3 linked regions of the Oryzias latipes genome follow. The protein of the gene in region 1 binds, or shares a complex with, the protein of each later gene. Links are inferred from orthologs where the notes say so. Each region holds a gene or a part of one and is shown in the gene's direction. Other genes may lie near its edges.

What was found.
Region 2: timm50 (region 1) and timm17b share a complex: the UniProt entries of both Homo sapiens proteins name them as parts of the TIM23 complex. The link is inferred for Oryzias latipes from reciprocal best matches to the Homo sapiens genes TIMM50 and TIMM17B.
Region 3: timm50 (region 1) and timm17a share a complex: the UniProt entries of both Homo sapiens proteins name them as parts of the TIM23 complex. The link is inferred for Oryzias latipes from reciprocal best matches to the Homo sapiens genes TIMM50 and TIMM17A.

What each region holds. Positions count from the first base shown.
Region 1 is NC_019871.2:1,074,360-1,078,040, reverse strand, and holds part of timm50 (mitochondrial import inner membrane translocase subunit TIM50), read left to right. Parts: intron 1-556; coding exon 557-578; intron 579-2,730; coding exon 2,731-2,789; intron 2,790-3,132; coding exon 3,133-3,252; intron 3,253-3,681. UniProt on the Homo sapiens protein: Essential component of the TIM23 complex, a complex that mediates the translocation of transit peptide-containing proteins across the mitochondrial inner membrane. Has some phosphatase activity in vitro; however such activity may not be relevant in vivo.
Region 2 is NC_019865.2:21,320,947-21,325,258, forward strand, and holds the start of timm17b (mitochondrial import inner membrane translocase subunit Tim17-B), read left to right. Parts: upstream 1-1,410; 5' UTR 1,411-1,435; coding exon 1,436-1,461; intron 1,462-3,114; coding exon 3,115-3,214; intron 3,215-3,294; coding exon 3,295-3,358; intron 3,359-3,516; coding exon 3,517-3,645; intron 3,646-3,725; coding exon 3,726-3,836; intron 3,837-4,312. Other genes in the region: pqbp1 (polyglutamine-binding protein 1), read right to left, coding at 83-194, 275-341. UniProt on the Homo sapiens protein: Essential component of the TIM23 complex, a complex that mediates the translocation of transit peptide-containing proteins across the mitochondrial inner membrane.
Region 3 is NC_019863.2:11,441,644-11,445,808, forward strand, and holds the start of timm17a (mitochondrial import inner membrane translocase subunit Tim17-A), read left to right. Parts: upstream 1-1,275; 5' UTR 1,276-1,360; coding exon 1,361-1,386; intron 1,387-2,677; coding exon 2,678-2,777; intron 2,778-3,004; coding exon 3,005-3,068; intron 3,069-3,953; coding exon 3,954-4,082; intron 4,083-4,165. UniProt on the Homo sapiens protein: Essential component of the TIM23 complex, a complex that mediates the translocation of transit peptide-containing proteins across the mitochondrial inner membrane.

The sequences.
Region 1 (3,681 bases):
TCACTTTGATTTAATTTAAAATAAAAACTCCTTAGGGTTTACTTTAACCCTTGTGCTATGTTATGGGGTCCAGATGACCCGGTCCTTCCATTGACGTGTTCTCCCTACCATGACAAAGGTGGACAAAGGTGGAAAGATTTCATGTAATCCATGGACACCAGTGAAGATCACAAATCATTGAAGAAAAAAGGTTCAGAGCACTGTCTAGTGCAGGGGTCCCCATATCCAGGCCTGGGGGGCCGGTGTCCTACATGTTTTCTAACCAACCTGCCATTGAAGCTCCTTATTGGCTAAACACACCTGATCCAGGTAATCAGATACAAATATGGCAGGGTTTCTGGAAAAGCAGCACGACATTGGCCCTTGAGGCCTGGATTTGGGGACCCCTGGTCTAGTGGGTCTAGATGACCCAACATTAACATGCCTTGGAGGCACGTTAACATTGGGAGTTGGGTCATCTAGACCCCACAAGTTAGCAGAAGGGTTGGACAGGAAGCTTGGGAGCAGAAACTCCTGCTTTTGTTGACCTCTGATCTCTGTTTTCTCTGTCCTGCAGATTCCAGATGAGTTCGACTCAGGTGAGTAGCGTCCGTCTGAGAACTGAAGTAATGAGTTACGGTCCCCCGCTGAACATTTCTGTCATAAACTGGAAGATGAGGCGACGCTTTAGGGAATCTTTATTCAGAAAGAACGCTTCTTTTGATTTTTTACTTTGGTGAATCAAGGACACAACAGTCAGCTCAGGAATGGGGTTGGCGTGTTCTCCCCGTGGGCTTGGCGTGTTCTCCCCGTGGAGGTAGCGTGTTCTCCCCGTGGAGTTGGCGTGTTCTCCCCGTGGAGTTGGCGTGTTCTCCCCGTGGGGTTGGCGTGTTCTCCCCGTGGGCTTAGCGTGTTTTCCCCGTGGAGGTAGCGTGTTCTCCCCGTGGGGTTGGCGTGTTCTCCCCGTGGGCTTAGCGTGTTTTCCCCGTGGAGGTAGCGTGTTCTCCCCGTGGAGTTGGCGTGTTCTCCCCGTGGGGTTGGCGTGTTCTCCCCGTGGGCTTAGCATGTTTTCCCCGTGGAGGTAGCGTGTTCTCCCCGTGGAGTTGCCGTGTTCTCCCCGTGGGGTTGGCGTGTTCTCCCCGTGGGCTTAGCATGTTTTCCCCGTGGAGGTAGTGTGTTCTCCCCGTGGGGTTGGCGTGTTCTCCCCGTGGGCTTAGCGTGTTTTCCCCGTGGAGTTAGCGTGTTCTCCCCGTGGGGTTGGCGTGTTCTCCCCGTGGGCTTAGCGTGTTTTCCCCGTGGAGGTAGCGGGTTCTCCCCGTGGAGTTAGCGTGTTCTCCCCGTGGGGTTGGTGTGTTCTCCCCGTGGGCTTAGCGTGTTTTCCCCGTGGAGGTAGCGTGTTCTCCCCGTGGGGTTGGCGTGTTCTCCCCGTGGGCTTAGCGTGTTTTCCCCGTGGAGGTAGCGTGTTCTCCCCGTGGAGTTAGCGTGTTCTCCCCGTGGGGTTGGTGTGTTCTCCCCGTGGGCTTAGCGTGTTTTCCCCGTGGAGGTAGCGTGTTCTCCCCGTGCACGCGTGGGTTTTCACCAGGCACTCCTTCCTCCCACCGCATGCTTCATGGATTAACTGGTGACTGTAAATCGTCTCTAGGAGTACAGCTGTGTGGGATTGAGTGACCCTGCGACAGACTGGCGGCCTGTCCGGGGCGTACGTCGCCTCTGCCCCACAGTTGGGGTCTGGCAACCATGTGACCCCCAAAGGGATAAAGCGGGTTTACGGTCGGTGGTTAGTTCATCACCTTTGGAAAAAAGTGACCGACCTGTGACGATGCAGATGGACGAGTTACCATCAACCACTGAGAGAAATCTAGAAACTGGTTTAACCGAAGAAAAGTTAATGATGCAAAAAGCTAATTAACAGGAAAAGCTGCCAAATAAAGGATGATAAACGTGTAGAAATGTTACATTAATTAAAAGACAAAAGAAACGACGTTCACAGGAAATCATAAAGTTAATACTTGTTCTAAAATCCTTCAGTGTTTGTGATCTAAAATTAGTTTTTAACGCTGAAAAGTTTTGTTTTTACTGACATTTAAGATTTTAGGAGGAAATAACCAGAGAACCAGCCGTTTGGTTCTCAGAAAGGCCTTCATCAGGGCATCTTCCTCTTTGGTGTCCCCTTCCTTTGGAGCGCTTTCACTCCTTTTTCAACACTTGTTCCGACTTAAAACATGAGAAACATCTGAAGTATTCGCCCCCCCGTCCGTCCCCGGATCTCATTTCTACGGACCTTCTCTGCGTTTCATCTCAGCAGCAGATGGTTTCTTCCTGCTTCAGCTCGCTGCAGGGAATCCTGGGGGTCCGAGTCCCCCGGGATAGACATGCGGGGATGGATGTTTGCCCCCACAGGGCAGTAATGATCCCGTGGCCTCACGGGAGCCCCGGTCTTTATTATGATTAGTCATTAGCAGGTTTCCAGCTAGAGCTGTGATCAGCAGGACTCATTGATCAGCTGGAAGGCTGCAGGTCAGGGAGCCAATCAGAAGGAGGCGTCTTTGTTTGGAGGCCGTTCTTTAAGCAAACAAAGTCCTCCTGAAACTGTTTACCCCTGCTCTGCAGAGGAAAGGAGGCCAATCAGAGTCCAGGTCCACACGGCTTCATCAAGCTGCTCAGATGTTGTTGGGGGGGGTCCAACATGTCGACAGATGAGCTCTAGAGGAGATCCAGGCTCCTGCTTCACCTTCCTCTTCTCTCTTTCAGACCCTCCAGTTGTCCAGCAGTTGAGGAGAACCTTCAAATACTTCAAGGATTACAGACAGGTGATCCTCCAAACATCTTTTCCTCCTGGAACGTTTCATAGTGACATGTTTTCTGTCCGGCCGCTGGGCGGACGCGTCAGAGCTGAGGGCCTCTAGTGTCGGACTGATGTTACAACAGGGGGTTAGGAATCTTCTGACACGCGAGGTGTCTATTTGAATAAACTCCTTTTTGGATTTGAGGGATAGCAGATTGAGAATATCCGCCCACCGGGCAACCCAACGTCAGCCACCCAGACTGGGGTCAGAAGGACCACCACAGGGTCCCATATTTAGGGTTTTACCATCAGATTTTCTTGAATCCGATCCTTTGAGGGCGCCGTGTGACCGGTTGGTTTTTTTGCAGATGATCATCGAGCCAACGAGCCCGAAACTGCTGCCCGACCCGTTGAAGGAGCCGTACTACCAGCCGCCCTACACCCTGGTGCTGGAGCTCACAGACGTCCTGCTGCACCCGGAGTGGTCGGTGCGTTTGGCTCCATGCACGTGTTTGCTAGTACTGATGTGGTGACATCACTGAAAGGGGAATGAAGCGCTGAGGTCAAACACAACCAAGCTTCACGTAGGAGAACACGGACCTCAGACAACCACGGCGGCCGTCCAAAGCCCGTCAGACCCCCCGGCGGTCTGTGCTCACACTGTAGTCCATGTGCCGCCGTTAGCTGCCGCTCAGCCAATGAGGGGGGGGTAATATGGGGGGTAATGGAGGGGCATTGAGGGTGCTTGCTGCTTTCTTTTCACGTTTTATACGTTAAAATTGTTCAGATCATCACCCCTTCATAGGGAATAACGAGGCATTAACAACGACGTTTCATGGTTAAATTCTGAACCTGTCAGAAGGACTACGACAGCAGTCAGAGGTTGGCGTTTGGGGCCGGAGCTCAGAACTAAATGG
Region 2 (4,312 bases), on another chromosome or scaffold:
TTCATTTCAATGGTAGATCAATGACACGCAGTGATCATACTCAAACACAGCAGCGCAGCTGATCGACTTCGTTTCTACGTACCACGTCGAGTCAAACACTTTGTACCAATTTGGGGGAAGATTTTCTAACCGAGTGGCTTCATAGTCAACATTGTTGTCATCATAATCTTCAGCGATGATCTCCTCCTCTATCTCTGTTTTGTTGAGGAGAAAAAGTCGTTTTAAGCTCAGAAAAAAAGCAGAAAGTAAGCTCTGTGAGGATGTAGAATACTACCTTGATCTGAAGGTTTAACTATTCCTCTCTTGGCCAAACGGGCCAGCAGGGCTGGAGGTAGAGGCATCTGCAAGCACAGAGGAGTTAGGATTAAATGATGATGCAAATGCTGACAAATTCTTCAGTTGATTACATACGAATTCACCGATTGTGTACAGGAGTTAGGATTGCAGAAATTTTGATTAAATATAAATTCTTTTTAAAAAAAAATAAAGGTTCCATTCCAAAACTAATTATGTTCGTTCACAAACATTTTTGCCTAACTAGTGATTTAAATAAAGCAAAACTTGAACTTTAAATCAATAAAATTCAACTTCTGGCTTTAAAAGCAAAGAAAATGTTTTATTTAACCTGACAAATACAAAATATTACTTTTATAGAAAAATCAATTAATTAAATAACTGATTTGGCTTTAATTTGGCAGAACTGTTTCGTTTCAAACTAACCCATAAAAGCAACAACATAAGAGACACCCATTACCCCAAATTCTGAAATTAAACATGTTCTATGACCAAATCCAGATGTACAGATGTGTACATTCAGAGCACCTGTATAGATAAGGTATTTGAAGCAAACAAATCCATTCTTCACTGTTTCTAAACAAATTCTCTGGAGGAAAATTTTATGATAAGGTGCGAAATTTAAACACGCACGCACGCGCGCGCACACACACACACACAAAACTGTCTCAATTTCAAAGCAGCTCAAAAAATGAAACAGGACTTTTCTGAAAGTTATTTCGATGGTTCTGGTTCTACTATGGAGCGATTGATTAAAACTCTCAAACGTTAAGTTTTTTTTGTCTTTTAAATATTGAGGTTAGTGTAGCTCAGTCAGTTTTAAAATATCGATAATTAGCAAAGAAACAATATTTCAAGAGCTAAAATAATCTGCACGAAAACATGATCCAGGCCCGTTTTTCTGAACTCAACTCACAGCTGCGGTTAAAATAAATCAAAATCCCGTCATTTTGAAGTTCCTAACTATAATAAGAAACTCAATTAACCAAGTAAGCGTTTATATAAATAACAAAGAGGGGGGAAAGTCTGTACCTGTTCTTAAAAACGACTATTTCAATCGTTAAAATCAACAGACCACCACAACGAACGATGAGCCGGCGCCTGATTATGACGTCACTGCGCTTAAAAGACGACACGAAAGATGGAGGAGTTTGCGCGTGAACCTTGGTGAGATTATCTTTTTTTGTCGAATAAAACCTAAACATATTAGTTTGTCCTTTGGCTTTTATGCAATTTTGCCCTCTTGTTGAACGAAACCTGACCAGGTTGAATAGTTTCGCGTCCACCACCGAGAAGTAATCTAATTTCAACTAGAATTCTAACATTTCGCAGGTTATAAAATATATTATTTCTACAATTTATGGAAAAACGACAACATTTACTGTTAGTGCTTTAAATTAGCTTAAAACATATTGCGAACAAATGTTACATATTTTGTGACATTTTTAATTAATTGGTAGTAAGCTTGTTTATTGTTTTTCAAGCCGAAACATCCAATTTATATCCTTGTGCAGAAATGGATGTTTTATATATCACAGAATATAATGGTATTTAATAGCAATTAAGATCACAGTTACATTTATTCTATAAATCCTAAATGCAGTTTAAATCTCTCAACAACTTTCAGACATTTTAAAGAATAATCATTAACATTGTCTACTATTTCATAGATGGATGATTGTTTATTAGAATTCAGTAAAGTCGACACTTCTAGGGCTTCAGGCACACAGATCTCCTCTAAAGCTGCCCCAACTCATCAAAATGCTGACATGCTTGTCATTGAGTCATTGATAATCCAGATTGATAATAACACTTCTGAATTTAACTGATTATAGATATTAGATAGTTGTTATGGTTAACCCATTTACTTCTGAGTTCAGAGTTTTTGGAGGGATTAACAGAAAGATCCCCCACCGTCTACAAAAGGAAGACACACAAACCAATCAGAGTAAAAACATGGAGACAGAATCATTTGTTTCTCTTTTTGGTCTGCTCCTGCTCCGTCTGCTTGCTGCCCCACGCCGCTCCGTCTGCTTGCTGCCCCACGCCGCTCCCTTCTGCCTCCTTTTTTCCCCCTCGCAGCTACAAGCTCTGCCACCTCTGGCTCTTCTCTGTTCTGATCTAATCAGTTTCTCTCTGATCTGTTCCTGCTTTGTGGTTATTCCTAGTTTTGAACTTAAAGGAAGTCAGAATTCACTCCCCTTGTGTCAGAAGAAAACACTGTGGATCTGTGATCCATTATTTTGCCTTTAGAGAGTAAATCTGAATGGAGAGAACCCCCTAAGTTTATAAGACAAAAGAATCAGAGGAAAATCCTTTAATTTATCATTTGACTCGTGACAAAGTAGAATAAATAGAAGAGTTAGCATGAAAAAGCCTGTGTCTTCTCATTTAGATCTTTGTTTGTTTTGAACATTTGAGCCTCCTGCAGCAGTAAGCCACCAGAAAGAACAATAATATGTTGCTGTTTTGCTGTCTTAATCCAATGACTAATTATTTAAACAAGTGTTTTAAAGCTGTTAAAGAAAATGCAGGTTCAGTGTGACCTTAAATAATGTCTGCATCTGTCGTTTAATAATATACTGCAGCTAAAATTGGGATTTGGAGTTAATATAATCCAAAGATGAATTCTTGTGGAAGCTGGAAAGTATGCCGGATCGTTGATAGCTTTCCTAAGAAATTAATAAAAAGGTTATTTGTTTCAGTTCTACACCTTTAACTTCTTGGCCTAATTTTGGTTCATTCAGATCCTGATGAGTCAATCTGCAATTTTTTTCCTCTGTGTCCGTAATTTTTCATGATCTGACTTCTTTCCTGCAGCCCCTGGAGGATTGTGGATGACTGTGGGGGGGCGTTTACTATGGGTGCAATTGGTGGAGGGGTGTTCCAAGCAGTCAAGGGGTTTCGAAACGCCCCCGCCGTGAGTTAAAACCACAAGTCTGTTGGCTCTGATGCGCCTGTTTTGTGAGGATAATAATTAACAGCAGTCTGACCTTTCAGGGTGTTGCACACAGGCTAAAAGGAAGCGCCAATGCAGTGAGAATAAGAGCGCCGCAGATTGGAGGTGAGGAGATTTTGCTCTTATTAATAACAAAAGGTTTCCTGGCTTCACCACAATGTCATTTGCTGTTCATCTCTTTATTGGAAAAATTATACCTAGATGCCATAAGAGCTGTTCTCTTCTTGTTTTTGTTTTTCACACTCCCCTGAACATTTTTGCAGGCAGCTTTGCAGTGTGGGGGGGGCTCTTCTCCACGATCGACTGTGGTCTGGTCCGTCTGAGAGGGAAAGAAGACCCGTGGAACTCCATCACCAGCGGGGCCCTGACCGGAGCCGTTCTAGCAGCACGCAGTAAGAGCGAGTCTGGGCCGCACACTCTCAGCGGGTCGTAGTGTTTGGTGGAATTGAGCGGACAGGGTGTCTTTCCTCAGGCGGACCGTTGACCATGGTGGGCTCTGCCATGATGGGAGGAATATTGCTCGCTCTCATCGAGGGTTTTGGGATCCTGCTAACCAGATACACTGCACAGCAGTTTCAGAACCGTGAGTGAAACTCTTGAATGGTGGTTTTATTCTTCCAAAAATGAGTTTTTGAAAATCATATTTGTATTCTACAGTAATATAAATCAGGTTGACTTTTTCTTTGGTGTATACATTTAGTTATTGTTACCTATTCACACTATTGAAGTTTTTTTCGCGGCAAATGCAGAAGACACCAGGGAAATTACATCAGCAAAATGTGATTTGCATTGTTAAAAAAACACGATGAGGGCAAAATGAAGGCTGCAAACTGGAATTTTTTGGTTAATCCTTAGTCATATGCTGGTTTTTGGTTTGTTCGGGGCTGTGGAGGGTCGTAGAGACAATCAGCTGCACCTTGAGGGGAGCAGATGTGTCTTTTAGTTTCCCTTCAGTCTCGTACCTAATGGAACGTCACTAAAAATGCAATGTACAGTTGTCATGCGTTTGGTAAGTTTGTATTTGTGAAGTATTTCTAAGGATAGTGACGTATGACTGGC
Region 3 (4,165 bases), on another chromosome or scaffold:
TCCAGCAAGTAATTTATACTTATAAGATGTTAAAATCTAGAAACAAGCTGTTCCACATAAGCATTCAAAAAGAGAAAAATAAGCATACTTCGAGAGAGTAACTTATAATAATATCGTACGGTCCGATAATAAGTATTTTTTGCTAGTTCTAAGCAAATGGATTTAATTTTTTCAGTTTTTATAAACCTAATTCTATTTCATTTTGATTACAGTGACAAAAAATAGTTAAAAAGTAGAAATGACTCATTTTAGAACAAATCCTCATAAAATTTAGCTCTAATTGTTTGAATGTAAATCAAATTCTCAGTTTCCAAAACAAGGACACTGAATGCCAGTCTAACATTTATTGAACTCTAAAATAAAATCTTTAAAATTGAGCCAAAAATGACACTGTAATTAGAGATTTTTTGAGTCTTGAAACAAGTTTTTTCTCTTGTCGAGAGTAGGGAGCAAAAGAGTTTGGATTCATTTTAATACTTATTTCTTTATTTCTGTATCTCTGCTCTTCCTGAGAATGTGTATAGCAAAAATAAGTTCAAACAACTTAAAACCTGGTAAAATATCTTGAATGTCTGAAAAGGTTTTAATCTTTGAAAGAATCAAATGCTTTTCAATGTGTGATCTTGGGTGTATTATTTTAGTTTAGCTTTTGGTTGCTCTGAACTACATGTGGCTGTTTTTTTGTTTTGGCAAACAATTCCAAAGCCTTTAAGTAGCTGACATTTCAGTAGTTGAGCTCTCACAGAGTACACCCGGACACTTGATGTATAGGGTTAGGGTTGGTGAGTATTTTCAGAAAGGATCCTACTCCCACCAGCAAAGTGTTTTCTTCTTCTTCATGTTTTAAATCCAACCTGTGATGTTTCTGATGTTGTGACTAATTTCTACAATCATTCATACTCTGTCTGCAGTCACATTTATAAATGTTAGCATTGTCACAAACCACATCAACCACCCAAGGATTGGCTAATAGATCAGCTAATATAAATAAATTATGTGAAAAATTAAGTATAGATTTTTATTAAAAAACAAAAGCAAACACATATTATCAAATTTTTATAATTTTTAACTACGTAAACATTTTATATTAAGAAGTATTTACTTAAAAATAGTGAGGCATTTGTTTGTCCACGAGTGACAGATTAACTGGAGATTTTGTAAGTTATTTATTTTTGTCTTCTATTTCCCTGGAATTATAAATAACCAAAAAAAGCGGAAAAAATGTATACAGAAAACTGCAACCACACGTCTGCTCGATAGATGGCGGTACTCATTACTTTCAACTATTGGTTTACGTTCTGTGACGTCAAGAAGAAGAGGTTACGTCAGGACGCTCAGGGGAACACGGTGAAAGAACAAAATGGAGGAATATGCGAGAGAGCCGTGGTGAGTTTTTTATTTATTTATTTATTTTTAAATCACCTTAATTGTCTGGTTAAAAAACAAGACATGTTTGTTCCTTAACTTTGAGTACCTATTCTGATCACCAGTTGTAATGACTTTATCAGTCCTTAACCTTGCATGCTAGTTAGTGGTGTTAGCCGAAATGCTAATTTCTCCCTTGAAATCTATGGGTAGCTTGACGCTAACGACATACCGGCATGGTCGTGAAATCACGTTGGTGACCTTGTCGGCTATTTCGTCCACATGTAACTCTACTGACTTCACTGAAAACAGTAGTTGACTTTGCACTAAATAGAACACGGATTGCATCAAGTACCAAAAAGCCAACATCACCATTGTTGTTCAGAGAAAATTTGTATAACTTGTTATGAGACCCGTGTTGTTGTAACTCTGACTGCTGTCAACCCGAACCTGTGAGTGATCGGTTTTACTAGATTCCCCAAACACTTGTTTCGACATCCTGTAATCAACTTAAAAAAAACCATCATATCTACGTAAAATTGTGTTAACTATAGGTGGACTGTAAAAACCCATCTTAGGCCTTACTGCCATTAGTGTGACACTAAGTTGTTATATTTTGGCTGATCCATGACCAGTTGTCTTTTTCCCACCTCATTTAACTAGGATGTGACAAAACAATGGAACTTGATGCAATTTTGCTTGATTTCCACAAAATATATCTTTTTGGACGGTTTTGAGCTTTTCTTTAACACACAGTTGCACTGTGTCCTCTACATATAGCATGTTATTTCCTCTTGGCATTGTTTTAATGGTCTGCAATATGTTTCATTTTGGATAATAGGCATGACTGTAATGAAGTCTCCTGTAGCACATCCTGAAGGTCTCAGTGGTATTAAGACCTGGGTGTTGAGGTATTTGGTCCATGCATGAAACAATGTCTAAAGTTCCTAGAATTAGACGTTGTAAATCTTGGGCTAGCTTACTGGCATGCAGATGCACTCCCCAACCCCAACACACAGACAGAATTAAATCAATTCAAGTTTTAAGTTGTTTCATTTAGTTCTTAACCAGTTATGACAATAAAAAAGTCTAAATTATTGATGTCTACTGTGGACTTGTTTTTCTCTCAAGTTTGATGCATTTATTCGTTTTTGTCCCCCCCCCCCCCCCCCCCCATATATTTGGAACTCATTAACGAACAAATACCTGCTGTTTATTTTAAAAATACTCGTATTAGGTTCTGTAGTCTGTTGTCTGGCACTCCATGAGTACAGCATGAGGTTAAGCTTTGTCTGTGTTTTTTGTTTTTTAGCCCCTGGAGGATTGTGGATGACTGTGGTGGAGCATTCACCATGGGAGCTATTGGAGGAGGGATATTCCAGGCGGTAAAGGGCTTCAGAAACGCACCCTCGGTAAGTTCAGTTTGGACATTTGAACTGTACGTGTGTGCCGTCACATGGGTTTGCTGTGATTATCTTTCTCCTACCTGTAGTGGCAGAGCCAGTGTTTTGAAAGCCTTGGCCTTCTGGTTCAATGACTCGCTCAAGGAAGCTTTAAATATTTTCCAGCGAGATGGGTGTTATAGTGTTTATCTGCTCTTCACACTTTTTAAATCTGTTTGTGCTGGTCTTTTTTGTAGGGAATGAGCCACAGGATGAGGGGTAGTTTAACTGCCATTAAGACCAGAGCCCCGCAACTGGGAGGTAAGACAAAAAAAATTCCACATGTGCCGACACTTATGTCTCATTTCCACTGAGCGATCCCGGTCCGGTCAGGTGATTGTCTTTCCTCCTGCGTAGTGCCAATAGAACAAAAGCTAAGCTATCGACAACAACAATGCGTGTTGTGTTTTTTTTTCTTTTCTTCTTTCTCCAAGATGGAGGATATATAAAGAAAATTAGGCTCAAAATTCTATTTTGAGTATTTCTACATCGAAATCTTTGTGAATCAGGCGCAGACGCAAAAATGTTGTTGGAAAAAGCTTGTAGGTGTGATTAAAGGCATCTGGCTCAAAACTGTACGGCTGGAAAACTCCAATATTGCTTGCCATTTTAGTTGCAGCGGTAATTTTAGGTTGGGGTTGTGAGGGACTGTAAGCTAGCAGGAAAGCCTATAAATGGATGGATGATGGGATGTGGGGATGGACTTACTCTGCCAGCAGAACTTGGAGGTGAATTTTTAATGAACTCCTGCTGTTCTGCAAAAATTATGTCCTAGAAAATGACATGTTCTTTTATTTTTTTTGCTCAAATCTGCATAATTATAAGTAAAAAGTCCACTGGGGACACTTTTACAATAGATCAAGAAATGATCGGAGTGGGACTTTGATGGGGTTATTCTGCTGTTCTGGTAGCAGGTTGTTTACCATGTAAACAACAATACCCTTGAGTCATGTCAACTTCACCAAAAGGTCAAATCTTCATTGGTTTACGTTGCTTGTTAACCATTACTGTGTTTAAACTTTTGGTTGTCTTTTTTTTTTTTGCAAGGTTATATTCATAAACGGGTTTATAACATTTTCTGCTATACTGTCAAAAAAGATGACTGATGGTTACTAGTTGGTAATTATTTGTGGGTGTGTGTTGCAGGTAGCTTTGCGGTGTGGGGAGGCCTTTTTTCCATGATTGACTGTGGTTTAGTAAAAGTAAGAGGGAAAGAAGACCCCTGGAATTCAATAACAAGTGGTGCCATGACTGGTGCTATTCTCGCTGCAAGAAGTAAGTACAAATTTCCCCTTTTGAAAATAGACAGAACTTCAGGTGAAATTTTGCCTTGATCTAACTTGGAGCTCATGTAGTGA